Elephas maximus indicus: one gene and its partners. The protein of the gene in region 4 interacts with the protein of the main gene of each other region in a biochemical or structural test. Links are inferred from orthologs where the notes say so. Each region holds a gene or a part of one and is shown on either strand. Other genes may lie near its edges.

Evidence for each region.
Region 1: of the proteins of EHMT2 (region 4) and histone H3, one has a biochemical effect on the other in vitro, tested with the Homo sapiens proteins (3 studies listed by BioGRID). The link is inferred for Elephas maximus indicus from reciprocal best matches to the Homo sapiens genes EHMT2 and H3C14.
Region 2: the proteins of EHMT2 (region 4) and CBX1 form a complex in vitro, tested with the Homo sapiens proteins (2 studies listed by BioGRID). The link is inferred for Elephas maximus indicus from reciprocal best matches to the Homo sapiens genes EHMT2 and CBX1.
Region 3: the proteins of EHMT2 (region 4) and CBX3 are reported together in a solved structure, tested with the Homo sapiens proteins (2 studies listed by BioGRID, with this or other methods). The link is inferred for Elephas maximus indicus from reciprocal best matches to the Homo sapiens genes EHMT2 and CBX3.

The regions. Positions count from the first base shown.
Region 1 is NC_064821.1:184,006,021-184,011,774, reverse strand, and holds histone H3, read right to left. Parts: upstream 1,021-5,754; 5' UTR 969-1,020; coding exon 558-968; 3' UTR 519-557; downstream 1-518. Other genes in the region: histone H2A type 2-A, read right to left, coding at 2,093-2,485; histone H2B type 2-E-like, read left to right, coding at 2,863-3,243. UniProt on the Homo sapiens protein: Core component of nucleosome. Nucleosomes wrap and compact DNA into chromatin, limiting DNA accessibility to the cellular machineries which require DNA as a template.
Region 2 is NC_064837.1:45,401,661-45,408,797, reverse strand, and holds the start of CBX1 (chromobox protein homolog 1), read right to left. Parts: upstream 3,008-7,137; 5' UTR 2,798-3,007; intron 1-2,797. UniProt on the Homo sapiens protein: Component of heterochromatin. Recognizes and binds histone H3 tails methylated at 'Lys-9', leading to epigenetic repression. Interaction with lamin B receptor (LBR) can contribute to the association of the heterochromatin with the inner nuclear membrane.
Region 3 is NC_064826.1:87,352,176-87,359,364, reverse strand, and holds the start of CBX3 (chromobox protein homolog 3), read right to left. Parts: upstream 3,022-7,189; 5' UTR 2,895-3,021; intron 1,705-2,894; 5' UTR 1,677-1,704; coding exon 1,653-1,676; intron 1-1,652. Other genes in the region: HNRNPA2B1 (heterogeneous nuclear ribonucleoproteins A2/B1), read left to right, coding at 4,164-4,169.
Region 4 is NC_064819.1:93,416,085-93,423,163, forward strand, and holds the start of EHMT2 (histone-lysine N-methyltransferase EHMT2), read right to left. Parts: upstream 3,004-7,079; coding exon 2,724-3,003; intron 2,625-2,723; coding exon 2,406-2,624; intron 2,302-2,405; coding exon 2,042-2,301; intron 1,125-2,041; coding exon 1,040-1,124; intron 947-1,039; coding exon 906-946; intron 753-905; coding exon 597-752; intron 1-596. Other genes in the region: ZBTB12 (zinc finger and BTB domain-containing protein 12), read right to left, coding at 5,628-7,007. UniProt on the Homo sapiens protein: Histone methyltransferase that specifically mono- and dimethylates 'Lys-9' of histone H3 (H3K9me1 and H3K9me2, respectively) in euchromatin.

The DNA of each region.
Region 1 (5,754 bases), on a different chromosome or scaffold from region 4:
CCGGGTGAGGCCGTTTCCGGCAGGGGCGGGGCGAGGGGGAAAGGATGAGCGCATACCTGGCAGCGGGCAGCTCTTCGTTCCCGCACAGGGCGACCCAGGCGCGCTCCCGTCCGCAGGAACTCCTTCCGCTGTCAGTTCGTTCTCCACTCCCTACCTACTCGAATTCGCATGCTGGGTCGCCGTGTACAAAAAAAGCACAAGAGCTTAGGCCCCCAAATGGCGGAAAACTTCAGTGCGGGACAGTGGGTGGCCAACTCAGAGACGCAAAACGGGCAAGCGCCAGTGACCTTACGAACCCAGTTAAGCCTGTAAAGCTCCAAGCCACCAGTTAAGCGGTCTATAAGCAGGTTAAGCAAACCTATCAACCCGTCCTATCTTTTACGCAACCCACCCCCGGGAACCTAGGGCTTCACCCCCCTAAACCTCTCCCCGACTTTGGGAGCGTCCACCCGGTGACGGCCCAGACTAAGTGACACAGCCGCTTTCGAATGCTGTTGTGGGTGGCTCTGAAAAGAGCCTTTGGATGAGATGGAACCCCGAGCCGAGTGCAGTGTAACTTAAGCCCGCTCCCCGCGGATGCGGCGGGCCAGCTGGATGTCCTTGGGCATGATGGTCACGCGCTTGGCGTGGATGGCGCACAGGTTCGTGTCTTCAAACAGCCCCACCAGGTAGGCCTCGCTCGCCTCCTGCAGCGCCATCACGGCCGAGCTCTGGAAGCGCAGGTCCGTCTTGAAGTCCTGCGCGATCTCGCGCACCAGCCGCTGGAACGGCAGCTTGCGGATCAGCAGCTCGGTGGACTTCTGGTAGCGCCGGATCTCCCGCAGGGCCACGGTGCCCGGCCGGTAGCGGTGCGGCTTCTTCACGCCGCCCGTGGCCGGCGCGCTCTTGCGGGCGGCCTTGGTGGCCAGCTGCTTCCGCGGGGCCTTGCCCCCGGTCGACTTGCGGGCAGTCTGCTTAGTACGGGCCATAACGGGTCAAGACACGAGCTAACCGGCGCAGCGACAGGGACAGGAATGCGAGCCCTCCAGCAGCAGCAGTCTTTATCGGCGCAGTCTCTCCCGGATTGGGCGGGAGGATAATTGAAAGTCCCGCGCTGACTGTCCATTGGCTGTGACGTCATCCGCCCTGGCGTCACCGATAGGCTTGGACAGAACCCTCCTCCGACCTCCCCCGCCAGCCCGCCCCCTTTCCTACTCTCCAGTTTGCCAACAGTTTTTCTCCGTTTTTCCCGATTCTTTCCTCGGAGAGGCGTTTTTGATTGCAACCTCGTGAGACCGTTTCTCCTCCGCCTATCATTCCTTTAGGACACGCTACCCGTGCCCCGCCTTTCTGCGCTGTGTTTGTAGCTCCGGAATGAAACATTTATCCCTTCCCCCCCAAATCTTGTAACCTTTTCACAGAGCAACCCACCCTCCCCCGGCCGCCCCGTTCGCTCTGGTTAATCGTTTCCTCCTGGTCGGTGCTTTTCCGCTTGGAAAGCTGTCCGCTCCCAAGGGTTAAGAGTTGGCCTGCGAAAGCCTAGTGTGGATCGGTATCTCCGCCGCACAAACGTTTTTTTTTATTCCCCAAGACGCTGGGCTAGGCTAAGCTGAGACTCGGGTCCGCTGCACTCTCGGAAACTGCTCCCCTGTAGAAGGGGGTGATAACGTATCCCTCAAACTAGGGTCGGGTCAGGTGGTGGGCAAAGCTTCGGGAACTGATAGTGGCGCACTCGGCGCCAAGCGAGCTAACGGGTTGGTGCTGCCCAGTATCTTCTTGTGGGTTAAAAGACCGTGGGTGGAGCCCAAGGTATTTGGTGCCTCCACTTGGGTTTAGTTCTAGTATGCGCAACTCACTCCATGAAATAAACGAAAAACGCTCGGAACTCAAAAGCTTGGGAGAAAAGCTAACAAATGGTATTCCACTTCCCACCCACCTCCTATATGGCGGCTACGGAAAACTCCGCTATCACTATCAAGAAAGTAGAACTGAGACTGGATATTGCAACAACTCTTTTCATTTGATAAGAGTGGGTGGCTCTGAAAAGAGCCTTTGGCTTATACGGATGACCACGGAGGACGGGGGCTGGGCGGGCAGTTTCCAGCCATCAACCTCACTTTCCTTTTGCTTTATGATGGCTTTCCGTCTTCTTCGGGAGCAACACGGCCTGGATGTTGGGCAAAACGCCACCCTGGGCGATGGTGACCTTGCCCAGCAACTTGTTCAGCTCTTCGTCGTTGCGGATGGCCAGCTGGAGGTGACGAGGAATGATGCGCGTCTTCTTGTTGTCCCGGGCCGCGTTGCCCGCCAGCTCTAGGATCTCCGCTGTCAGGTACTCGAGCACCGCCGCCATGTAGACGGGCGCACCGGCCCCCACCCGCTCGGCATAGTTGCCTTTACGGAGCAGACGGTGAACTCGGCCCACCGGGAACTGCAGGCCTGCGCGGGACGAACGAGACTTGGCTTTGGCACGAGCCTTGCCTCCTTGCTTACCACGCCCAGACATTACACCGAGAACACACGGACACAACTCTACCTAAACAACCGCCAAAGTCGCCACCAACTGCCCGGCTTCACCCTTTTATAGGCAGAACGGCGATTGTCTGCGGACCGTTTTGATTGGCTACAGCGCATCTTTGTCCTGAAAACCAATAGCATAGCTCGGTTAGAATCCATTCGTTTACATAATCTGGCCCGCCTCGCACCGGCGCCACTGGAAACCCGCGAATCACAGAGCAGCGTAGTCAGAACCGTCATTTGCGTACCGCCTCTATAAGTACCGAGCTGTTGCCAGCAGGCTCGGCTCGATTGTTTTGTTAGTGGTTTTGGGACGGGTTTTTTGTTTTTGTTTTTGTTTTTTTTTGCAGTTCGGTAGTTCTTATTATGCCTGAGCCGGCCAAATCCGCTCCTGCTCCTAAGAAGGGCTCTAAGAAAGCTGTTACCAAGGCCCAGAAAAAAGATGGCAAGAAGCGCAAGCGCAGCCGCAAGGAGAGTTACTCCATCTACGTGTACAAAGTGTTGAAGCAGGTCCACCCCGACACAGGCATTTCGTCCAAGGCCATGGGCATCGTGAATTCTTTCGTCAACGACATCTTCGAGCGCATCGCCGGGGAAGCGTCCCGCCTGGCGCATTACAACAAACGCTCGACCATCACGTCCCGGGAGATCCAGACGGCCGTGCGCCTGCTGCTGCCCGGCGAGCTGGCTAAGCACGCCGTGTCCGAGGGCACCAAGGCCGTCACCAAGTACACCAGCTCCAAGTGAGTCACCTGATGGGATGCAGCCTTCGCACAGTCTCCGGCTTCTTTGTTCCAAAGGCTCTTTTCAGAGGCGCCCATTGTGTCAACGAAAGAAGCTGTCACTGGCCCTATGGGTTTAATGTGTCCCCGCTGTATCTTGATACTGTCTTCAAGTCTAGTCTAAGAAAACTTAAACCTTGTTTAAACACAGGTATCTAGCTCGTTTCTGTCTCAAATGGGAAAAGAGTTTATGGCCGTGGAGGGTGGGGGAAAAACTTTGGGGGAGTAGGTGGGATTCGTCCTTCGTTCAATTGCTATTAAAATTGACGTTGGGTACCTGAATCACACGTGAAGGTTCAAGTGCTCTGGTAGTTGTTTTCTAGTGAAACACGGGTTTGTGCTGTATTAACCTTGATAAACGTTAAGCAGGATAAGTTACCTGTAAGAGCAAAGAAATACGATTCGGTTATTCCCAAGTGGTAAGGTTACTGGGAGTACTTAGATTTGTTCCATTACGTGCTCCTGTGCTGTGCACTGAAAAAGGATAATTTAGTTTCCTTCATATATGCTGCTGACTAATTTCTGGAGTTTGTGTCCTTAGTTCTTCAAAGCACCTGACTTAGGTGTTCAAGTAAAGATTCCCCAGTAAGGGAGATGGAATCTTGATTTTTAAATTTGGGAATTAAGTGCTGGTGTCTTCTCTCTGCCGCTTCTTACATCAAATAGCGTGAAGCCGAACCTAATTTAATCATGCAGTGATAATGTTTTACTCCCAAGAATTATCAACGGAGTTTATCCCTTTGTAACAACCATGTCGAGATACAGAAGACAGTCCCGTATAATAGGAACAAAATATGTATAATTTCCGAAGCTGGAGTTTGGAATGCAAAAAAAGTGAAAATATGGTGTAGCGCAAGCGGAATGTGATTGGTTTTAGAATTTATTTCCAGTGTATTGGGAACCCATTGGACTATTTTCAGGTAGGGTTGGATAATATGAGCTCATTAAACCTTTAAACCTTTAAAAAGGTTACTCTGATTGCTTTGGGGATCATGGTTCCTAGGCTGACAACAGCAGAAAACCAAAACCAAAAACCAAATGTGTTGTTGTTGAGTCGATTCTGACTCATAATGACTCTATAGAACAGAGTAGAACTGCCCCATACAGTTTCCACGGACTGGCTGGTGGACTGGCTGGTGGGTGCCGACTGCAGACCTTTTGGCTAGCAGCTCTTAACCACTGTCCCACCAGTGCAACAGTAAACCCACTGCTGTGGAGTCAGGCTCATATGACCCTATAAGAGAATAGAACTGCCTCAGGGTTTCCAAGACGGGCTAGTGGATTTGAACTGCTAACCTTTAAGTTAGCAACCGAGCTCTTAATCACTGCGCTACCAGGGCTCCGACAATGGCTCCGACAATAGAAGGCATCAAATTAAGAGGCTGTTGCAGCATTGTGAGCTGGATGTGGTTCTTAAAATCTGGCCTCCAGACCAACAGGAAGGAGTGCTGGTGGAGCAGTAGTTAAGTGTTTGGCTGCTAACCAAAGGGTTGGTGGTTCAAACCTACCCAGCTGCTCCACAGGAGAAAGACCTGGTGGTCTGCTCCTGCAAAGGTTACAGCTTAGGAAACCTTAAGGGGCAGTTACACTTTGTCACATGGGGTCGCTATCCACTCGCAGGCACCTGACAGACCAGCAGAATCAGCATTACCTGGGAATTTATTAGAAACGATAATTCCTAGTCCCCAGCAATCTAACAAGCCCTGGGAGTTGATTCTGATGCATGCTAAATTCTGAGACTCCCCTGGGTTTGGTTAGAGATACCCAACTGGAGTATGGTGATAGCAGTGGAGACTGTGAGAAATGGTGGGATTTAGATTATATTTTGGAAGTTGGATCAATAATCTGCTGACAGGATTTGGTTATGAGTGAAACTCCTAACTTTTTGGCTTGAGCAACTGGGTAGATAGCAATGTTCGAAATAAGGATGGACTCCTGGGAGGAGGTATGGTTTGGGGCATTGGAGGAGCTTCCGATTGAAATTTGAGAAGCTCTTTGATATTCAAGTGAATATATTGAGTTGGTAGTTTGACTTATCCAGGGCTCAGAAAACAGAACAAAACATTGCCTTTAAGGACTACCTCTGAACTTTATTTTTTCATGTTGTCATGAAATTTAATTTAGTAGTTGATAGCCCTACAATGTATATATTTAACTATGCAGCATTTATTTTTTCCTGTTTTCTCTAGTTGTATCCTGATTTTCATTAAAGAATCCACCTAATCCCTCATGTTAATTGGTTCTCAATTTTGGCCGCATATTGAAATTCCCTGGGGACCTTTAACAAGTACTGATCTTGGGTTCCACCCCCAGAAATTCTGATTTAAGTTTTATGGGGTAGCCCTGTGAAGTTGCCCAGGTGATTCTAACCCACGGCCAAGACTGAGAACCACTGCTCTACGTGTTTCTCAGAAAGCAGCTCTTAGGTTTAGGTGATGATTCCAACTCACGGCAATCCCGTGTGTGTCAGAGTAGA
Region 2 (7,137 bases), on a different chromosome or scaffold from region 4:
TAAATCCTGAACAGGATTAGTATGGAGTGTATCTTTTGAGTAACACCCTTACTAAAGGGTGTGACTCAAGTCACCACCTTACTCAAGATACACCCTTACTTGAGTCACATCTTTTATCATACAAGAGAGAGAAGAGAGCAGATAAGGGAGGGACCTGACTACCACCAAGAAAGAAGAGCCGGGAGTGGAGCACAACCTTTGGACCTAGGGTCCCTGCACTGAGAACCCCCTAGACTCAGGGGAAGATTGAAGCCAAGACACATGGAAATCTCCAAGGACCACCAGACCCACAGGTGTTGAGAGGAAACAAGAACCTTCCCCTAGAGCTGACAGAGAGAAGGCCTGCCGCTGGAGCTGGTGCCCTGAATTCAGACTTCTGGCCTCCTAAACTGTGAAAGAATAAATCTATCTGTTAAAGCCATCCACTTGTGGTATTTTTGTTATAGCAGTGCTAGATAACTAAGACACATACGTTTTCTGTATTTAAAAACAGTGCATGTACATTAAAAAATGAGGCTAATGCAAGTTTGCCAACAACAATAGTTCTACTCTGCCAAATGTCATAAATCTAGAACAGGCAAAAGGACTACATAAATGCACATTAATTAATTATATTAAGTAACATCTGCACTTCTCAGAAAGGATCTCAAATCCCTATTCATTCATTCATCAACAATCTGAATGGTCTAATAAATATGTACCAGACACTGGATGAACAAGAGGCCTAACACCATTTTATGGGAACCTATAAACTACAGGGTCGCTATGAGTCGGAACTGACTCGACGGCAATGAGTTTGGGCTTTTTTTGGTATAAACTAGCCATTAGCACTTCACTCCAAAATTCTTCAGAGATAACCTATGAAGTGAAAATATATCAAATACAATGCAAAATCTCCTATACCACCACAGAGAGTATATGAAAAAGGGAAATTCTGCTGGATAAACCACTGTAAAATGATAAAAATTCATTGTGTCTTTTTTTAAAAAACACTTCCCTGGTCCCTAAGATGGGCATAAGAAGATACGACTGCTTCTTTTCTTTAGTTGTATGGTTGGAAAATTGTAGGTATCCTGTATTAAAAAAAAAAAAAAAAAAAACCAGTAGAAGGCTAGAGTACTCTTACTTGTTCTCTTTAATTAAGAAGCTAGAAGCACCAAGCTTCATGCTGCTTATATTTTTAATGAAAAACAATTTAGATTACAGCAGCCAATGCAAAAAAAAAATCACCACAGAGAAAAATGGAAATGACTGAGGATCCTCCACTGCCCTGAAGCTTCATTAAGGTGTGACCAGTTCCAATTCAGGTGCCTTTCAATCATACTACTTTCCATATAAATGTCTGTAAGGGAGGAACAAAGGCACTAATTTCCTGATTTTTTTTTAATTTATGTATCTATTCCAAAACCTTGGACCTTTCAGAACTATCCCAAACTGCTGACAGGATTTTTCATACAATTAAGAAAGCGATCTTATCCCTAGATGGCAGTTCTGGAATAAACGATTATTTTTGTAAACTCCACCTCAATTTAATTAAACCAATACAGTCTGACCATAACACAAACACACAAAACCCCCTCAGCTAAAGCTTAGTACTTAACTTTTTTTCCAGTGCTTTTGAAAAAGGGTAAAGTATTGCCCACTTTGTATTCACATTTTGTTCTAACAAGGCTGGCTAGAAAAACATTTGGGGCCCCCTCCCCCCCCAAAAATAGCATCTCATATACTTTTCTCCTTTGTCTCCAGATTTCCCACACCACCTCACCGTCTCATTATCTGACTCCATTCCTTAACTATGAACCCACCGACAAATTTCTACAATTTTACCACCTCCTGTGAGACCAGCAACAATCCCAGATCAAAATTTATGGAACTGTGAATCAAAGCAAGAGTTGCACTTAGGCTGTTTTGTTTTGAATTTCCTAAAGGAATCATGAAGACAGTAAAAAACCTGGAAAAGTGACGAAAGCGAGTTTTATTCATTCTTCACACATTATTCTTACAGTCTCCCCACTGTAAGGACCCATGAGCAAGAGCGGCCAGCTTTCCCCTTCCACCCCTCACAGAAGCACCCTCGCGGCCTCGGCTCCACTTATCCTAACAGCTCCTCCCCTTCTAGAGCCAGGACAGGCAGAGAAATATTTCCTCCTAGATCCACCCCCATTTATTCAAGTTACTTCCCACCCCCTGCTTACACCTAGGCCAGCATATCTCCTCCTCCAACAGCACCCCCTGGGCCGCCCAGCGCCCCCTTCAAAGCAACTCAAAGTTACTTCTCCGTAGCCCGCAAGCGAAAACGCCTCTGGTAGCTCCCGCGGACCCAATTTCCTCAGGTTACAGCTCTAAATCTAGGTCTCGCAGTCGTCAGCCTCTCCCCACGCGTACCCAAGCAGCAAAGGTGCCCCATCTGTCCCTTTCCCAATTTACTAAAATGTTTTCTCTCCAGCCCAATCCACAGCCGCCCACCCCAACCCAAGCAGCATTGTCTCATCTACTTGGCCCTCGAAGAGCGACCCCCGAGTACTCGGCCCACCCCGAACTGCTTCAATCTCTTCCTCAGGATTCGCCGCCCCGCCCTCCCCATCCTTCAAGCGGCCGGCGCTCAACCCTCCGAGCCAGCCGGAGAGCTCTGCGCGGGAAGTGGAGGGGAAGGGCGCGGGAACCTGAGAGGGGGCCCGAGGCGCTCCCCGCCCCCAACTGCGGTCGCGAGCGCGCAGCCCCTCACCCCGGGTTCCCGCCGTCGCGCGCGCGCTTCCCACCCCCCTCCCCCGTTCCCCGCCTCTAGCGGGCTCTTCACCTCAGAGCAGCGCCCAAAAGCCCGAGGGGAATCGGTGCCGCGCTACAGGCGCGTCGCGTCGGGCCGGTCGGGGGAGTGACGCCCACAAAAGCAACAAGGCGAGGAGCCGCAGTCGAGACCCTCACTGAAGCGACGTACCGAAGGCCCGGACCAACGGCCTTCCCCCTCTGCCGAACAAAAGAGCCTCGCACTCTGCGCTGCCCGCCCCCCTCACTGCGCAGGCGTGACGACCCGTCGCACAGCATCATGGGGCTCAGAGTCGGCCCAAGACTACAAGTTCCGAAGTGCTCCGGCATCATACGCCGCCACGCACAGCATGCGAAGGCTTTAGGGAGGTCTTCGGTAGCTTGGAGGGTCTTTGATGGTGCAGTGGTTAAGTGTTTGGCTGCTAACCTAAGGGTTGCCGGTTCCAATCCACCAGCCGCTTGGCGGGTAGAACAGGGAAAGATGTAATAGTCGTTTCCATAAAGATTACAGCCTTGGAAACTCTAAGGCAGTTCTACCCTGTCCTGTAGGGTAACTCCGAGTCAGGATTGATTAATGGCAGTGGGTTTCAGTTGGGTCAATAGTTTGGAACGTTGCAAATTAGAAATTTTGAACGTGTAATTCATATCCTTGACTCATTTGACTCTTACTAGGTTCTTCACCAGAATTTTATCAGCTCTCCAGCGCTCTCCTTACTGTTGAGATTACTTCCTCTTGGAGGCCTTCTTTGATCCTCCAGACTAGGTAAGGTCCCCTGGGTAGGTGTCATCAAGGCATCCTGGACTTACCCTTTTCATTGGCTATGCCAGTGAGCACCCCTCACCCAGCCACACCGAAGAAACATAGAATCAAGCAAACCACGCTTGTTGCGTTTTGAGATGTATTCTGGTTCTCCTGATTTAAACTAGATTGCTGTCCCCAAACCCGTTCAAATAAAAATTCCATCTCCCATTGTAACATTCACCCCCCACTTTATGTCACACCCTTCTTTATGTCATTAGTTAATATCTGTCTTCCCTTCTGGAAGCCAAGCTTCGGTGAGGACGGAAACCCTGCCTTGTGTTGTTCACTGCTGTATCCCCAGTGCCTAGTGCAGTCCCTGGCATTTAAATGATTAAATGAATGAATGACATCTCTGCCTCCTACCTAACAGAAAACAGAGGTGATCAAGCTTTTCTTCATCTCTTCACTCCAGATTTTTGGCTTTTTTTTTTTCTCTCCCTTACTTTCCTTTTCCCTGTCCAGTTAGGAACTATACAGACGGAACTTCTAAAGGTGACATTCTTTTTTCTTACTTTAAATAGTAAACTATTTCCCTAACCGGGGGGAAAGGGGAAATTAAAAGTCTAGTGCATTTTACCCCAGAATGCAGAGGTCTGCATTTATATAAGTTTTGCTGAGCTAGGCACTGTGCAGGTCTCTGGAGAGTTGCCATGTAAGAAATCCAGCCCAGAAATATCATAATAGAGTTTTGCTGAGAGGCTGTTGGGGATGCAGAGACAAGGGCAGTTCTTCCTGAAACATTTGGGTTGGATGTGCAGTGCCGGGTCCCTAAACACTAAAGCAGAAACTTTAGGCTTGAAAGTTTGACATCCATCCCTGGCAGAATTCTACAACAGATTATTAACGAGAGCTTTTAGCTGATTGCAGATTAGCATAAACCAGTTGTGCCTTCCCACCAAAAAATGAGAAAGTAATATTTGGCAGCCTTAATTCAAGAAGGGCATAGAGCCGTGATGGCTCCTTACTTAGAAACATGCACGTAAGAGCCTAAAGTTTGCATTAACAATATCCATTTTGAAAGTCCGTTGGTATTAAATAGGTTTAGCTCTTTTCCGATAAGAATGGTGACATTTTAAGTTATTCAGACCCTCAGAGTTCTACTTCTAAAAGGAACAACAACTCAGTCATAGTAATACCGCTCAAGACATCTGAAGTGGCATTGCTAATGTCCACAGGAAATGCTTCTGTCAAATCAAGTTTCTCAAATCACAAGGAATGTGAGGAAGGGAAGAAGTATAATGTTCCAAAAAGAACAAGGGCTTGGGATGCAGGCCAAACTGGATTGGATTCTGTTTCTACTATTTGTGTGCTGTATGACCAAAACCAAAAATCAAACTATATTCTGTTGAGTAGAACTGCTCCCTAGGGTTTCCAAGGAGCAGTTGGTGAACTTATACTGCTGACTTTTTGGTTAGCAGCCGAGCTCTTAACCAATGTGCCACCAGGGCCCCTGTATAACCTTGGACAAACTGCATTACTTCTCTGAATCTCAGCCTTCATGAAAATCTATAACACAAAAATAACATCTACGACCTCTCTTGCACCACTGTTGTGGGATTAACAGTAATGTTGTATAAAGAGAATGACATATAGCTAACATTCAGTAAACGGGAGGTATTTTAGGTACAGTAGATAGCAGCTTATGAGATGTGATTTAGAGTGGGGGAAGTATAAAAACCAAAAACCAAACTCTTTGCCATCGATTCTGACTTATAGTGACCCTATAGGTCAGAATAGAACTGCCCATAGGGTTTCCAAGGCTGTAATCTACAGGAGCAGATCGCCATCTCTTTATCCCAAGGAGTCCTTGGTGGGTTTGAACTGTCAGCCTTTAGGTTAGCAGCCCAATGCTTAAACACTGTACCACCAGGGATCCTCCAGGGGAAGTGTAGAAATCAGAAAGTATTTTCCTCCGTACTGTCTGAAATTCTTTGTTTTCATTTTGACCTGCTACTTGAAATTCTATTGTTAAAGATTTATTCATTGGGGTTAACAATCACCCTCTTTTAAAAGGCAAAAATACCTTGGAGCTATCAGTCTGTCTTACTGCCCCAGGTCAGTCTGATTCTCAGGTTACTTCCTTGTAGTAATTGGACTCTAATTAAAATGTAAGAAGTCTTTGGGTTTAAGTGCTTGACTGCTAGTCGGAAGGTTGGAGGTTCCAATCCATCCAGAGGTGCCTTGGTAGAAAGGTCTAATGATTTGCTTCTGGAAGGTCACAGCCTTGAAAATCCTATGGAATGCAGTTGTAATCTGCACATGTGAGACTGCCCTGAGTCTGAATCCACTGGATGGCAATGGGAAAGAAATAATTAAAATGAACACTTCTTGAATCAAACACCACAGCCTCTAATATTGATTGGTTTCGTCCTGAGAAGGGATCATTACTGGACAGGTACTTATTGTCAAATGTTAGAAATCACTGTTGTGAAAATAAACTAGAGATAGGGCACCACCTGTTTGTGAAACCTACACTGCAAATTATTTAATGAGTTTATTTCAAAACGTTTATTGAGTAATGTGCAGGGAGATGGTGCTAAGTTCTTATATCTTTAAAAATATAAGCTCTAGAAGGTCAGAATATTTTTGTGTGGTTTACTGCTTTATCCTTAGTGCTCCAAATAGTGCCTAGGCCATAGGAGCCCAAGCCAAAGCAATGGAATTTGTTGTGACTAGGGTCTCTAAGGCTGTAAATATAGAAGCAGACTGCCACATCTTTCTCCAGAGGAGCGGCTGGTGGTTTTGAACTGCCGACCTTTCGGTTAGCAGTGGATAGCTTTAACCACTGTGCCACCAGGGCTCCTTACTCCATCAAAAAAAAAAAAAAAAACCCAGTGCTGTCGAGTCGATTTCGACTCATAGCAACCCTATAGGACAGAGTATAACTGCCCCATAGAGTTTCCAAGGAGCACCTGGCGGATTCAAACTGCCGACCCTTTGGTTAGCAGCCATAGCACTTAACCACTACGCCACCTTAGCCCATATAAGAAAATATATATATATATTTTTTATATATAGGAAGAGCGTAATAAATATTCGTTGAATATAGATACATTCTCCTGAGGTAGTTCTCCAAATATGGTCCACAGGTTCCTTTGAGTTCCTGAGACAGTTTCAAGGAGTCTACCAGACCAAAACTATTTTCATAACAATTCCGACATTATCTATCTCTTTCTCTATGTTGACATTTTCAGTGATGGTGCAAAAGCAATGGTGGGTGAAACTGCTGTTATCTTAGCGTGAATCACAGCAGTAGCACCAATGTGTACTAGAGTCATTGTATTCTTTGTTGCCACACACATGCAATAAAAGAATTTAAAAAGTCACTTTCACTTAAGAATGCCCTTGATGAAGCAGTAAGAATTATTAATCTTATTCATCTCCATCCTAGAGTCATTTAGTGTTCTGTGTGGTGAAATGGAAGTATCCATAAAGCACTTCTGCTGCATAACAAAAGTATGATGGTTGTAGGATTGTTGGAGATGTGCGAGCTAACTAGCTACTTTTTTCATGGAACACCATTTTTTACTTGAAAGAATGACTGGCAGAAAAACTGTAATTATTCAGACTTG
Region 3 (7,189 bases), on a different chromosome or scaffold from region 4:
AAAAAGAAAAGGACCCACACTTAAAAAAAAAGGGGGGGGGGGCTATATTATATTTATTATCTTGGGATACATAAGCTAGTTTCAAATGCCCTTCTTTTAAAATAGAAGTATTTATTTGGTTTAAGCCAGATTTATTTTTCCAGCACAAAGTGGATTTTGGAGGCAAAATGCACTTCCTACTATATAAAACTCAGTTTCCCATTTCAAAAATAGCTCACATCTCTCACATATTAAAAAAAAAAAAAACCAAACACACACACATTACAATTGCTCAATTTGTGATCATTTACAAAAAAATATTTATACACAAATAAATTACAAACACCAAGACTACCAAACTGTGCAAAAGCAATTTAATTTTAATGGGAGCAAGTGTGTGTTTTCTGTATGTATATTCATCCTCAGAACTTTCTGCCTCATGGACAGCTAATTCCTTTCCTACCCAATACTTATTTGATGAAGGATAAAGTTGACTGTAACCCAATTCTAGTACCTACATTTTGGTTGACTGATAATGGAATTTGAAGGCCAGCTCCAATCCTGAGGGGACACAGAAGATGCTTTCTCCACTAATGATTTTGAACTATATATGGAAATCATTCATGCCAGGGACTCACCAGATAGGCCTTATATTTCAATCTGTCCTAGTGTATTTTGACTTAAATGTGCAATCTAACAATGGCACAAATTCAAAATAACCAATTTGCCCTTTTTAGTGTAGAAACCAAGGAATGAATGCAGATCAAAACCAAATGTTTCCCTTTACTTAGATGTTAACACTCACCTTTACATGCTTATGATTACTATTAATGCAATGTGTTAGAATTAAATACTGTGGGAACCATAACTTTGAATTTCGTGATTTTTATGTGAACATTCCAGTTTTTTTTTTGATTTATAGTTTGATATGGCTGACTCTACATGCCTTTACACATTTGTTAAACTTTTAATCAAACCTAAAATACGTCAACTTTGGGTTTAAGATGCTGTGGCTGGAGAGAAAAAATTTAACTGCTCAAAAGATCCAGCAGATTTAGTATTCTCTCTCTCACACACATAGTGATTTGGTTCTTTTTGTATATTAAAAAACAACCACCGCAATAATGTAAAGGTCCTCATGCGTTTTAAACAAAATTGAAATATGACAAAGTGACCAGAGTAATCTGAAAAACTGAACAACATTTGCCCCAAACTAGGTGCACGAGATATCTGGTTCTTTAAACTGAATATTACTGAAAATACTTGGTTTCTCCAGAATTCAGGTACAGTGGTTTATTATACCAATCAACAGTGGCTTTACTGTTTCAACGGCCTATCCTTTTAACATATTTTTCCATGTTCCATAATTTTCTGTATTTTATTATCGCAAGAAAAAAGTACTGGGCAAAATTCATACTGTACTGTCCTTCTAAACTCTTGAGAACTAGACAAGAGATTAGGTTTATTTAATTGAATTAGAAGTATTAAGGCAAGTCAGTAAGAATCTCTATGTAATTTTCTGCCCCTAATTCTCCCCATAATAATACTGGGGGCCTGGGGTGTGTGGGGAATATATGAATGTAAATTTCTCCAACCACAGAGATGCAAAGTTATAATTTTTGGGAAAAAAGCTTGAGTTAGATCCTTATGTATTTAGGTTTTCATTAACTTACCAATGTAGTTTTATTGGAGGCCATTTTTTATTGCAGACTTGAAGAGCTATTACTAGAAAAATGCATGACAGTTAAAAGGAAGTTTGCATGACACAAAAAAAGGTAGCTAAACACAAGTTTTGCTTGGATTCCAACCCCCACGTCGGTAGCGCACATATCAAACATGGATAGAAATCCATAGAGAAGCGGATTTAAGCTCCTGCGTGAATTATTAATGATATATGCCTTAAAGTAATATATCACTTTTATCCAAGTGGGGGAAGGGAGGGACATCTGCACCTGAGACTGAGCTTTACATGGTGCAAAAAACAGGAGAAATATTTTTTCCACTCTAAATCCCAGTTACACCAAATTCTATGTTTAGCTCTGTTTTTTTTTTTTATTCAAAGGCAAACCTTTTTGTTCAAAGTGAGAGAAAATTAGCCAACCAACCACACCGGTAAGCTATACTGAATTTTTCCTCTAGACCTCTTAACAGTCCAAAGAGTTTCCTATACAACCCTAACTTGACTTCTTCTCAGAAACCACCCCTCTTCCCAATTACTCGTTAAAAAAAACTAAAGGGAAAACACACCGTGAAGCCTCATTCCCATTTCATGACACTTTTAAAAACAAATCACCTCTTGCATATTCACCCGATCTCCCCTTGGCCCCAGGACCCTCCGAAATGGATTGGGGTGTGCAAAGGCCTAAGCGCCCGCCCCCCACCGAGAGCGCGGCCTCGTGGTCAGCGCATCCGCGGGGAGAAACAAAGGCCGCGGCGCCGGGGTTCAAGGGCACTGCGCCACCGGCCCCGCACCTGGGCGGCGGCCACGTAACGGAGCGTCCGCCGCCGTCTCTGGACAGCGGGCCGCGTGCAGTGCCAGGCCCCGCGGATGCGGGAAAATGCGCCGCCCTCCCGGGAGGCCCAACTCGCCGCCCAGGCCGGAGATGCGGGCGGGGGAGGGTCCCTCTTCTTGAACGTGGATGAGGGAGGAGGGGAAGAAAGGCGCTTTGTCTAGAAAAAAAGCGGCTGTCGCCACACCTCTCTACCCTCAGCAAACTACAGACGCCGGCCCTGAGCGCGGCTCGCCTCGGGCCTCCACCTGCCCTCCACACCTTCCCGCCAGATCCCGACTCTGGGTCCGGCGGGGAAGGGCGGGATCCAGGAGCTGGGAACTGGGAGGGGGGGGTCCCTGGGGCGCATGTAGCATCTGAAGCACCACCACCCAGTGAAAGCTAGAGAGAAAGAAAGACACCGACTTCACCGCCTCCGAGCTGCTCCACGTCCCGGGTCTGCGGCGTCTCCGGCCCTGCGCGCCTACAGCTCAAGCCACATCCGAAGAGGAGGGGGCTGGGGAGCTGCGCGCTGGGCCTCCGCCTGGGCCGGGGAGGGGGAGGGGAGAAACGCACCGCCCACGCTGGGCGGCGAGGGGCGGGGCGGGAGGGCGCGCGCGCCCGGCCGGGGAGGGGCCGCGCCCGTCGGGAGCCCTGGACCGTGGGAGGTTGGAAGGGAGGCAGGGAAGGGGGCGGTGACTGCGGCACCTACCGTTCGCGGCTTGGCGCCTGGTGATCCCCAGAGGGGAGGGAGGAGGAGGGGCGGGGACGGTGGTCGGAGTCTTTTCCGCGGAGGCTTTTCTGCTCCGCAGCGCGGCGGCTGGCGCCAAAACCGGACTCCGCCCACTTCCTCGCCCCTGGGAGTGGTTGCCTCCTTTGGAGGGAGGTGGAGAAAAACTTGGGGGTGAAAGGACAATTGGAAGCTAAGAGAAGTGTACCTCCCGGAGGACCTTCCTAAAAAACAAAAAACAAAAAAAAAAGTACCAAATTCTAGGGGCCGGCCCCAAGGACGTTGGCCAGTAATTTGTTGACTAGAAATCGCTTCGGGTGTTTCCGGAAGGGGCCGAGTCAGTCCTGCACAGGGGGGGAGGGAGTTGAAGAGGAAAACGAAGGGAGGAAGGCTACCAGTATTTTTTATGGTGGGAGAACCCACGGGCATTATCAAAGGTGCAGCGGCAGGTTTTACTTCTTCGGGCAGCTGACTGAGCTGCTCCCGACAGCGCTAATTTCAAACTGCGCGACCGTTTCTCACCTGCCCTGCGCTAAGGCGGGGGCTGGACCCGACTCCGAGGGAGATACGCAAGACTCGAGCCTTCCGCAATTCACTGAGTCCCATTTACGCTAGTAACGTCAAGCACCACCGCTAGCCGCAAGCAGGGGGAGGGGTACGTGTTTGGCGTAAGGCGGGAGCAGAGCGTTCCCGCCATTGGCGGCGGTTAGGGCGTTTACGCAACGAGCTGACGTAAGGGAGGACGCGTTAGTCGGAGGGAAGGTTCTAGAAAAGCGGCGGCAGCGGCTCTAGCGGCAGTAGCAGCAGCGCCGGGTCCCGTGCGGAGGTCCTCCTAGCGGTGTTGTTTCTCGAGCAGCGGCAGCTCTCACAACAGCGCCAGGACGAGTCCGGTTCGTGTTCGTCCGCGGAGATCTCTCTCATCTCGCTCGGCTGCGGGAAATCGGGCTGAAGCGACTGAGTCCGCGATGGAGGTAACGGGTTTGAAATCAATGAGTTACTGGAGAGGGCATGGTGAGGCCGTTGGCGCCTCAATGGAAGTTGACCACCCGCCTCCGTGGGAGAGCGGCAGTGAAGTCGGACCGCTCCCGGGGCGGTTGATCTTGTGACATTTATGTGGGGGATCTTAGCGGAGGCCTGCTTGTACACCACCGCCCTCGGCCTCCCGGCGCCATTTCCTTTTACTGGTTTGGGGGATGGGGAACTTTCACATGGCGGACGCAGTCCCACTTTAGTGAAAGTGGGGTGCAGAGGCGGGAGTTCCTATTCCCTTTTTAAAAACGCCAACTTAGGGGCCTCAGCGTCCTAGCGTTTCGGAGGGCTTGGGGCCCTCGTGAGTTTGCGGAGCTTCCCCTCCCCCTCTCTCCCGGGAACCGGATTTGGCGGCCGCCATTTTCATTTCTCTCCTTCCTCGCAGCGTTTTTGTTTTTGCTCTTTAAATTCTACTACTGTGATCACTTTGTTGCCGAATAGAAGTAGTTAACTGTTTCTCTCTCTTCTCGGGCTGTTTCCACGTCGTTTCGAGGTGAATTTCGTGTGTTTTGTGAGCTCGGATCTTTTAAGTCCTGCGCACCTCGTTAAAGGCGCTCTTCCTTCCCCTCGATGAAATGGCGCCATTGCGTTCAGAAGCCACAGAGAAGAGTGGGGGGTGGGGAGGAGGCTCGGCTGGGCCAGTTGGTACCGCGCGAGAGAGGGAAGGTGTAACAGCCGAGGGCCTTGGGCCTTGGGCCTGGCCTTTAGGCAAGCCATATTACCAAGAAACCGTTTCATGTTTTCCAGCTTGTGTTTCTTTTAATAACGGATTTTTCTGGGTTTGCAGTGATTAAAAAAAGACCGTTTAACCGCAGAAAACTTGGAAATATCAAAATTTAGAGCCATTAGATTAGTATCGATTACGAACGAGGTGGCAGTGGGGAAGATTATTATGTGGGGGAGAATATTCTTTCCAGAATCTTTTATTATTCTAAGGACTAATATATAAGTTGTAGGATTTATTCATATTCAGAATAGCAATTATGTGAAAATTCGATGTTTGCTGGGTGAACATGCGGATCTTCATGAACGACAAGCCAAAAGTTCAGAGCAAAGTGAAATAAAAATGACTTATTAGTTGTATCCTGGCTCGAAATTGTAATGCGTTGTAGTGCTATGCCCAAAACTGTCTCGGGCCTAGGTCGCTATGTGTTTGAACTTTGTTATTTGCTGTTCTTATTTCTGTTTGCAATCATGGTTGGTCATTGCATTGATTAAGCGTAAGGTCTCAAGCGAAGGGGGTCTACCTGATTATTTTCTTTGACCCTAAAGCACGTTTATAAAATAACCTTGTTTATAATCGATAGTGGACATCGGGTAAGTTTGGAACAGACCGAGGTAAGTAATGCGTTTTTGCCGTTTGTTACTGGTTTTTAAGGATTGTGGATGTGCTTTTGCATTAAATGTCCGTGATTGATTTGGGTTTAAAGAGATGTTTTTAGTGACAAGGTATAGAATAAAAAAAATTAGTTTGAGAATCCAAAATAGTTACCCGTTCTGACAGCGTGTTGTTGTTTCAGTAGCTCAAGGGCTTAGTTTGGTAATTTAAGTTAATTCTATTTTTCATTTTCAGAACCCAGAAAACACTTAACCATATTGGGGGAGGGGGAGTCCCTGACTGAATTGGCTTCTACTGTATTCTCTTGAGCAGTCGGGAGAATATCGTCTGCGTTAAGGAACTTCCATCGAATTGGTTGAAAGCAGTAATACTTGTTGGGAATAAAACACTTCCTGTATTTGAAAATATATTTGACCTTTTAGTCTGTTACACTTTCACAGTAGTTTGTCCTGGATATATAATCTATTTTCCTGGTTTATGAATATTTTTTCAAAATTAACAAGTTACCTACCTGTAAGGCAGGTTTAACGACCATGATTACCCCAGATAAAGGGGCTCTTAATGTAGCATGTTTGCAGGTGTTAAAAATTTCAGCTCAGATTTTTTTCTTTTCAACTTGTAAAATTTAAGACATTGTTTTATGCCCTAGTTTGCCAGATGAACATTAAAATCCGTATGCCCGAGCTTTTTTTTTTAAATAAGCCAGTCAAATGTGTTATTGGTAAATGTGGTAATAAGTAAAAACCAAGTAATTATGGTGGTGGTTTAAACATTTTTGTTTATTGTGGTAGAATGTATATAACGAAACATTAGTTATTAAACATTTTAATTGTATAGTTCAGACGTTACTTTCAACTTGTGCAATCATCAGAATTATTTCTAAGTGCATTTAAGCGTTCTTGTTGGGTTTTTTAATGTGAGATGCTTATGCTAAATAAAAATATTAATATATAAGGTGAATACATTTTTTTGTGGTTAGCAGAGTGGTCCAGATTGTTTCTGTACTGTCATTTAAATACAAAATACAAGAGCCTCCCCCCCCCAAAAAAAACTGCATTCGATTTTTTTTTTTTAAGTTGTAGAAGACTTTGGTTATAAAATCAACCTGCCTTGCTCAAGAGAGCTTATTTTTGTACCTATCTTAAACCTTTAATGCCCCGCAGGGGGCATATGGGGGAAATCCGTATTTTTTTTGGAGTTTTCTTGGATGAGATTCATTAAAACTACCACCAGAGGGGGCAGTTAAGGGAAAATAATTTAATTATGGCACTTTTCAGATACTGAATTCTGAAATACGTAGTCAACCACGGGTTGTAAAGAGCCAGAGTTATTTTTGAATTTTTTTGAAAGTGTTTACTTATTACTTAAAAGCAAAGTTTTATGTCTTGGACATAGGATTGTGTAAAAGTTTGGTAGTCTTTTAATAACCATTCAAGAACCGCAGAATATTTACTTTTTTCTCCCCAGAAAGCTTTTAAATAAATGATAATTACGTTTGTTTAAAATAAATTTATGTCAAGTAAATTTAGATCAGGCATTAATGACTTTGAAGCTTGTGTAGTTCAGCTGAGACAGTTTTTTTGGTGTAACACAACTAATATGCAGTTTAACATATGGTTTAAA
Region 4 (7,079 bases):
ATTTATGAATCAATTGAGGGAACATGAAAACCGACTGGGTGTTTGACAGTATTAAGGAATCAATGGTAAAATTCTTAGATACAAAAACAGTAACACGGTGATGTCAAAACACAAAAAGCCTTATGCTTACAGACCAAAAAAAAAAAACCAAAAACAGCAAGCCCACTGCCACTGAGCTGATTTTGACTCACAGTGACTCCGTAGGGCAGGGTAGAACTGCCTCATAGGGTTTCCAAGGCTGTAAATCTTTATGGAAGCAGACTGCCACATCTTTCTCCTGCAGGGTGTCTGGTAGATTCAAACGGCTGACCTTTTGCTTAGCAGCTGGGCGCTTAACCACTGCACCACCAGGGCTCCTTATGCTGACAGACTCACATAAAAATACTTGCAGATAAAACGATACGGTACCTGGGATTTACTTTAAGACAATCCAGTAAGTACTTGTGTTAGATTTTTAAAGCATTTTATATAGCATTATAGAGCAAGAGAATCATAAAATCCAAACAAAAAGCCAATAAACAGTAAAACAAAGACTGGTGAGAAACCCCTGGACCTGGGGGAGTGCTGGTGGGGGAGGGCAGGCCTGCGGACCTCACCTTGCTGTCAGAGTCCACGCGTTCGTCCACAGAATAGGAATCATAGTAGAGACTAAAGTCGTCCCCCACCACCGTCTCCCACTCTTCCAGGGACCCAGGGTCCCCCTTCTGCAGGGTCACTTCTCCTGAGCCACGGGCAGAACCCAACTCCTCCGACTAGAAAAAGATCAGAAAAATTGAGGCTGCTGGTAACCACTCCCATTAGCCCCCACTTCGAGGACGCAGGGTGTGGCCGCAGAGTCTACACCCTTGAAGCAGTCCTTCCCTCCCAAGGTGGGAAGGCCTCGCTCCCTGCCTCTCCTGGCTTACCAGACCACCTCCAGAGTTCAGTTTCCTCCTTTTCACGACATCTGGAAGGAGAGAATGAAAGGGATGAGGCCTGTGCCCTACACCTTCAAGAATGGCTACTGTCAGGCTGCGGGTGGGTAGTAGGTGAAACTGACCTGAGGTGACCTTCCCCAGAGAGTGCACGTCGTCACTCATTCGGAAATGCTGTACTTCAGGGGGTCGCTTCTCAGGGACTGGGGGCTGGGGGTGAGAGGGAGCATTTGGGATCAGGGAGCACCTACAGTTCTGCTGATTAGCCTGGAGTCCCAGGTATGAGCAGGTTGGTGAGACATACCCTCAAAAATGCCATCTGGTGCTCCAAGAACCAGAATATAACAACAAGATATCAACCACTTTCCATATCAAGCACTTACTTATCTTTCTAATCATTGACCCTCTACTCCAATTTTACAGATGAGAAAACGGCCAAAACCACATCCAGGACCAAACCCACTCATAGCGACTCCGTAGAACAGGGTTTCCAAGGGTGTAAATCTTTATGGAAGCAGACTGCCATGTTTTTCTCCCACAGAGCTGCTGATGGATTCGAACCAACAGCCTCTCGGTTAGCAGCTGAGTACTTAAGCACTGCACCACCAGGGCTCCTTACATTCAGGACAGATCATACCAAAAGCCCTTAAAAACCCTACCATAAAGCTTCTGAGATTCTGGGGACTTTGTGATTTACCTTCTTTGCCATTTCTGTGGCCCTCACATTCTTTCCCGTAGGAATTCCCAATAAAACCTTAAAACGGAGCAGGGACAGGTTTCAAAGGGAGGGAAACATCCCCCTGAGGGCTTGCTTAGAGGTAGAAAGAAAAAGTGCCTTGAAGTTCCTTTACATACTCGTTATCACAAAAATAATTAAGACATTAACTATACAATTAACTCTTTAACATGTCTTTTTTTCTCCTCCTTTTCTCTGAAAAAATAAACTCTAAGAAGAACAGCGTCTGTTCATAGATTAGGCCCCAGCCCATTACTTGACAGGCAACAAAAACAGGTCCTTGGTAAATAAGTAAATGAGCTACAAGAGACCTGAAATTAAGTTTTTAAAAAGCCCACAAGGGCTTTATGGTCAATTACCCTAGTTCCCCCCACCCTGCCCCCACCCTCACCTGTCCATTTCCGGGTTTGGACATGGTTTTCCTGGCTCTGTGGACCTTGGGCTGCCCCTCTGGACTGGTGGTGGCCGGAGGGGCTTCAGGCCCTGCTGCTGCCACCCCCTGGGCCCCTGGCATACTCAGCAGCCTCATGGCCAAGCTCTGGACTGAGGGGGGTGACTTCCCAGCTCCTGTCATTGACATCTTGGCCCGACTGGGACAGGCACCCCCGCCTCCCTTGCTGGGGGAAGAGGGAAATGACTTTGTGGCATGCCCTAGAAGACAAGACGTACAGGCAGACATAATGTAAAATAACAAGGAAGGCTCGGAGGACCCCCCCATGGTACTCCCCCCGACCCCAGGCTCCCCAGCCTCTCACCCAGCAGGATGCGGCCCCCATGGAGGTCCCCATCTCCCTCGAGACTCTCAGGCTCATCCCCAATGAGCGGTGTGGCTCCCACAGGGGTGTCAACCCCCTCATCGCCGACGGTGACAGTGACAGAAGCTGGGGATGAGGGGCCTGCCGGCTCCAGGGGATCAGGGCTGGCCTTGGGTAGGGCCTCCTCATTATGAGAAATGTCTCCCAAAGAGCCATGAACTGATAAGAAAGATAAAAAAGTTCAGGGCTAAGAACTCACGGGATCCTGTGCTGGGGGTTGATGAAGGTTCAAGTGGGCCGTTTCTGCCGCACACTCACCTCTCTCGGTGGCTCCTCTGGGCTCTTTTTCCAGCAGCAGCGCCCCCATTTCAGCGGGGGCCTCCCCCTGGGAGGGGAGACAGGGGACGGGAGAGCTGGTCAGCCCAGTAGGGAGTTGGGGGGCCCAGGACGCCTGGGCCCTGGGAAGAGAGAGCAGGCTTCGGGGCCTACCTCTCCCCCTATGGGTGCCCCCCCTTCCGCGGCCTCGGCTGCCCGGAGGGGCTGCACGACCCCTCCCCCGAGCCCGCATCAGCCCCCTCCCTCTCGGTAGACCCCGCATCTCTGGGGCAGAGAGAAGAGGAGGGGGAGGGGGCGGGGCCTCCGCGCCCCGGCCCCGCCCCCTCCTCCCGGCTGTACGCGCCGCTCCCCCTTTGTCCCCCAGGCCGCGGGGACCCCTGGCACCAACCCCTCCAGCGCCCGCTGCCCCCCAGCCCGGCGGACGGCCCCTCGTGCCCCTCGCGCGTGCCGCTGGGGCCGCGGCGCCCGCCACCCACTCGGGGGCAGCCGGCGGCTGCATGCGCGCCTCCGTGCCCACTCCCCCCACCTCCCACCCCCTGGTCCCCTCATCCGCCCCCGGTGCTGGCCCCCCGGATTGCTCCAAGTCCCGCCCGGGCCCCCCGGCCCCGTTGCACCCCCGGAGCATTGCACGGGTGCGCGCTTCCCCCGGGCGCGCGCGCGGGCATGCACCCGCCTCTCCCCCTCCCCTTCCGCACCTCGGCCGCCGCCGCCGCTGCAGCTCCCGCCGCCGCCGCCATCGCCGCTCGCGCGAGGGGCCGAGCCGGCGCGCGGCCGCCCCGCGTCACGTGATCGGGGGGGCGGGAAGGCGAGGAGGAGCCTTAAAGGAGCCGCAACGTGCTTGCTGGTTATTTTTCTCCGGGAGCAGCGCTGGAAATGGCGGTGGCTGGTCGAAGCTGGGGGCCACAGGCGAGAATTCCTGCCATTCCTCACCTCAGCTCTGCGGGGAACCGAGAGCGAGGCACGCCCGTCTCCAGGTGTGGCTTCTCCACCCCTACCTGGTTTTAGGTAACTAGCAGAGTTGTGAGCCTCCCGGCTCCCGACAGCGGCCGTATTTTCTTGTGGCCCTCGTGAGCGTCTCCCGCCGCTGGTTGCTTTGCTCGCTTTCTAGTTTCTGGGTCAACAGATAGGCTCGGCCTCACTTCTCTAACGAGCAAAAAGGGTACAACAGGGCCGCGCGGAGGATACCTTTACTCTTGGCTGGTTCTGACACTCTGCTTCTGTCCCCTGGAGCAGGGTTCCCTTTTAAAAACCTGGGACTCAATGTCTCTTCTGTTTATGCAGGGCGTATTACAGCATCACACGCACTAGGGATCCAGGTAAGCCCCCAGCGGCCCGAGAGTCATTACTATCTGGTGACACTGCAGTAAGTAAGCTTTACTAAACACTTCACAAACAAAGTCAGGCACTCCATGGGTCGTACGTAGTCCAACTGTCCGTGGAAGTAGGTAGTAGTATTTAGGGTACCATCCCTTTAGGTATTGCATTCTGGCCAAAGTTTGGAAATATCTGTATGATTTCACACGCAGCATAGGATCCAGGCAGGTGGTTGTGATATGGGGCACCTGAGGCCAATTCAAGGCCTTCTGGGAACTGTAGTACTGTTTGGTTAAAAACTATTCCAGAGCTTTCTGGGACTTGTAGTCTTCCCTGCACCCTAGCCCAAACAGTGGTTTTTAACTTTCCCATTGAACAGGGATGGACCTTTCTCTAGACCAAAAAAAAAAAAGTCCAACACAGAATTCTGCTTGCAATTTCAGTGGGTGCACTGACTACCGTTAGCCCATCCCTAGCCCTGATACCAAATTCCTCAAAAAGGAGCAGTTATGTGTAACATCATCACTGCCAAACAACTGCAGCACATTTGTGCTATGAGTTACCCTGCTACATGTTGAGGTTACAAGACTGAGAGTCCCTGGCCAGAGGAGCCCCCTGCCCCAAAGGCTGGGCTCCTTCAGCCATGGGACCTGCATGAATTGTGACCTCTGGGTACTGAAGACACAGCATCAGAGGAAGAGGCTGTCTCGGGTGGGATGCTCATAGAACTGGTGGGGAAAAAAAAGGGCCACTCATACACAATTATCAGAGTATAAAGAAAAAACAAGTTTTTGTTTTTTATTTTGTGGAAAATAAAAGCAGAAAAACTAAAACCCCAAACTCCAAAAAGATCCTAAAAAATATGTTTTGTTTTCTTAAAAAATACTGTATAAGTCTCTACTCCTCTCCCTCCCCAACAGCCCTTCTCGTGTCCTTTCTTCTAAGTGCCCTCCCCTCCAACCCTCACTTCCCAGTATCTACCTAGGATGCTCATCTTTGTGTTCTTTTACCTGGCACCTTACTTTGTTCCCTCTAGAAATTGTACCCCCTTCCCCCAGCATGCAAGAGCTTCCTTTTCTGGGATTCGATCATCTTTTCCCTCTACCACTCCCTCTCCCAAAGATCTATTCTAAACAGGAGCATGTAAGCTGCCCCCACCAAATTCCCTCCCAAGCCCCACCCACCCAATCCCTACCTCAAGAAATGTCAGAACCTCCCCTTGGGCAGCCTTAGCCCAGAATAAAACATTTTCCAGTCTTTTTTCTATTCGTTCTATAGGACCCTTCCCCTCCCTCCACATATCCATGCACCTCTAAGAGAAGAAAATCTTTCTCTGGGACTCCATATTCTCTTGGCTTTCTCAAAGGACCCTCTCTCCATCTGTCCTTTCTTCAGCTCTGAAGAGGCTGGATCTTTTCAGCAGTAAATCTTTGCCTCTCAGAATGCCTCTCCTCAGGTTCCCCAATATACCTTCCTGCCCCAGACCCCCTACCCCCCTATTCTCCCAGGCCACAGGAGGCACCTTCCCACCCAGCCCAGGGACCCCGGCCTCCTGCCCCGGCACCTGCCCCGCTAGCGGATGAGGACGTTGATCTCGGCCACACTGGCCTCCAGCACGTTCTCGGCTGTGGTTTTGCCGTGCTGCTCCTTGAGGTGTCGCCTGATGGCAGGCTTGTGGGCGAAGCGCACGTCGCAGTAGGAGCAGCGGTATGGCCGGGCTCCTGAGTGCAGGTTGAGGTGGTCGTGCAGTGTGGACTTCTGCGTGAAGCACTTGCCACAGATGCCACATGAGTGCGACTTGACACCGCGATGCACGTTCATGTGGCGGTTGAGGTTGCTGCTGTGGTTGAACTGCTTGCCGCAGCGCGGGCACATGAAGATGAAATGCTGCGCCCGCATGTGGAAGACCAGCTTCTCCACGCCCTGGAACACTTCTGGGCACTTGGTACACTTGATGTTCTTCAGGGGGTTCCCACTTGAGAAGCCCCCAGGCAGGGGGCCCCGGCTACCCCCTGCCCCCAGGCTGCCCCCCGCCCCCCGGGCAGCCATGGCCACTGCTGCTGCCTCCACCAGACCTGAGGTGGCCCCCACGCTCGCCCGGCCCCCAGGAATCAACAGCAGGCCCTCCCCTTCTGCGTCCTCTGATAGGCTGTAGCAGGCCTTGACCACACCCTGTGGAGGGGCGACAGTGCTGGGGGGCACACTGCTCTGGGCCAGTTCCCCGAGATGGCTGCCCACAGAGCCCCCAAGGCCCAAACCCCCTCCCAGGCCTCCTGGGGGTTTGAGCCGGTGTGCCACCTCCAGGGCCGACTCCACCTTGACGATGCAGATGTCAGACACATCCTCGTCCTCATCCTCCTCCTCCTCCTCGGCTTTCAGCTCCAGATCCTCATCCAGAGGAAATTCCAGCTTCACGGGCCGCAGGAGCGGAGGGGGTAGAGGAGGTGGGGGAGGAGGCTTGGGGGCTGGTTTTGGGGTCCTAGCAGGAGGGAGGAGGGACTTGGTGGTAGTGATGCCGCTCATGAGCCCAGCCTCGCTGACCCCATCTTCTTTGAGGCCAATCTTGGGCTCAATGAACTGGCTGAGGGCATTCCGGCATTTCTCCACCACGTGCTCCATCTGCAGGTAGGAGGCTGCCGTCAGATAGTTGACGATGTCCCTGACAGCGAATTCCAGCGCGCCGGTGTAACAAGAGAGGAGCAGGTCTGCCACAATGCGCGCACTGTGCATCAGCGAGACCTGCAGTTCAGAGCTGGGGTTCAGCAGGAACTGGTCCCGTAGAAACGGCGAACAGGCGGCCAGGATGACCTTGTGGCCACGGAACTTGAGGCTGTCGGCCACAATGGTCACGTCGCAAAACCGCTCCTCTGCGCGGAGCTGGTTCATGTTTCGCAGGGTAGCGGCCTCGTGGCCAGGCAACTGGAAGCGCAGGACTTCCACCCCAGAGGCCATTGTGGCGGGGGTGGGCAACCCTGGTTGGGAAGGAAACCGGTCAGAGACAAAGGTCTCTGGCTCTCCGAAGCC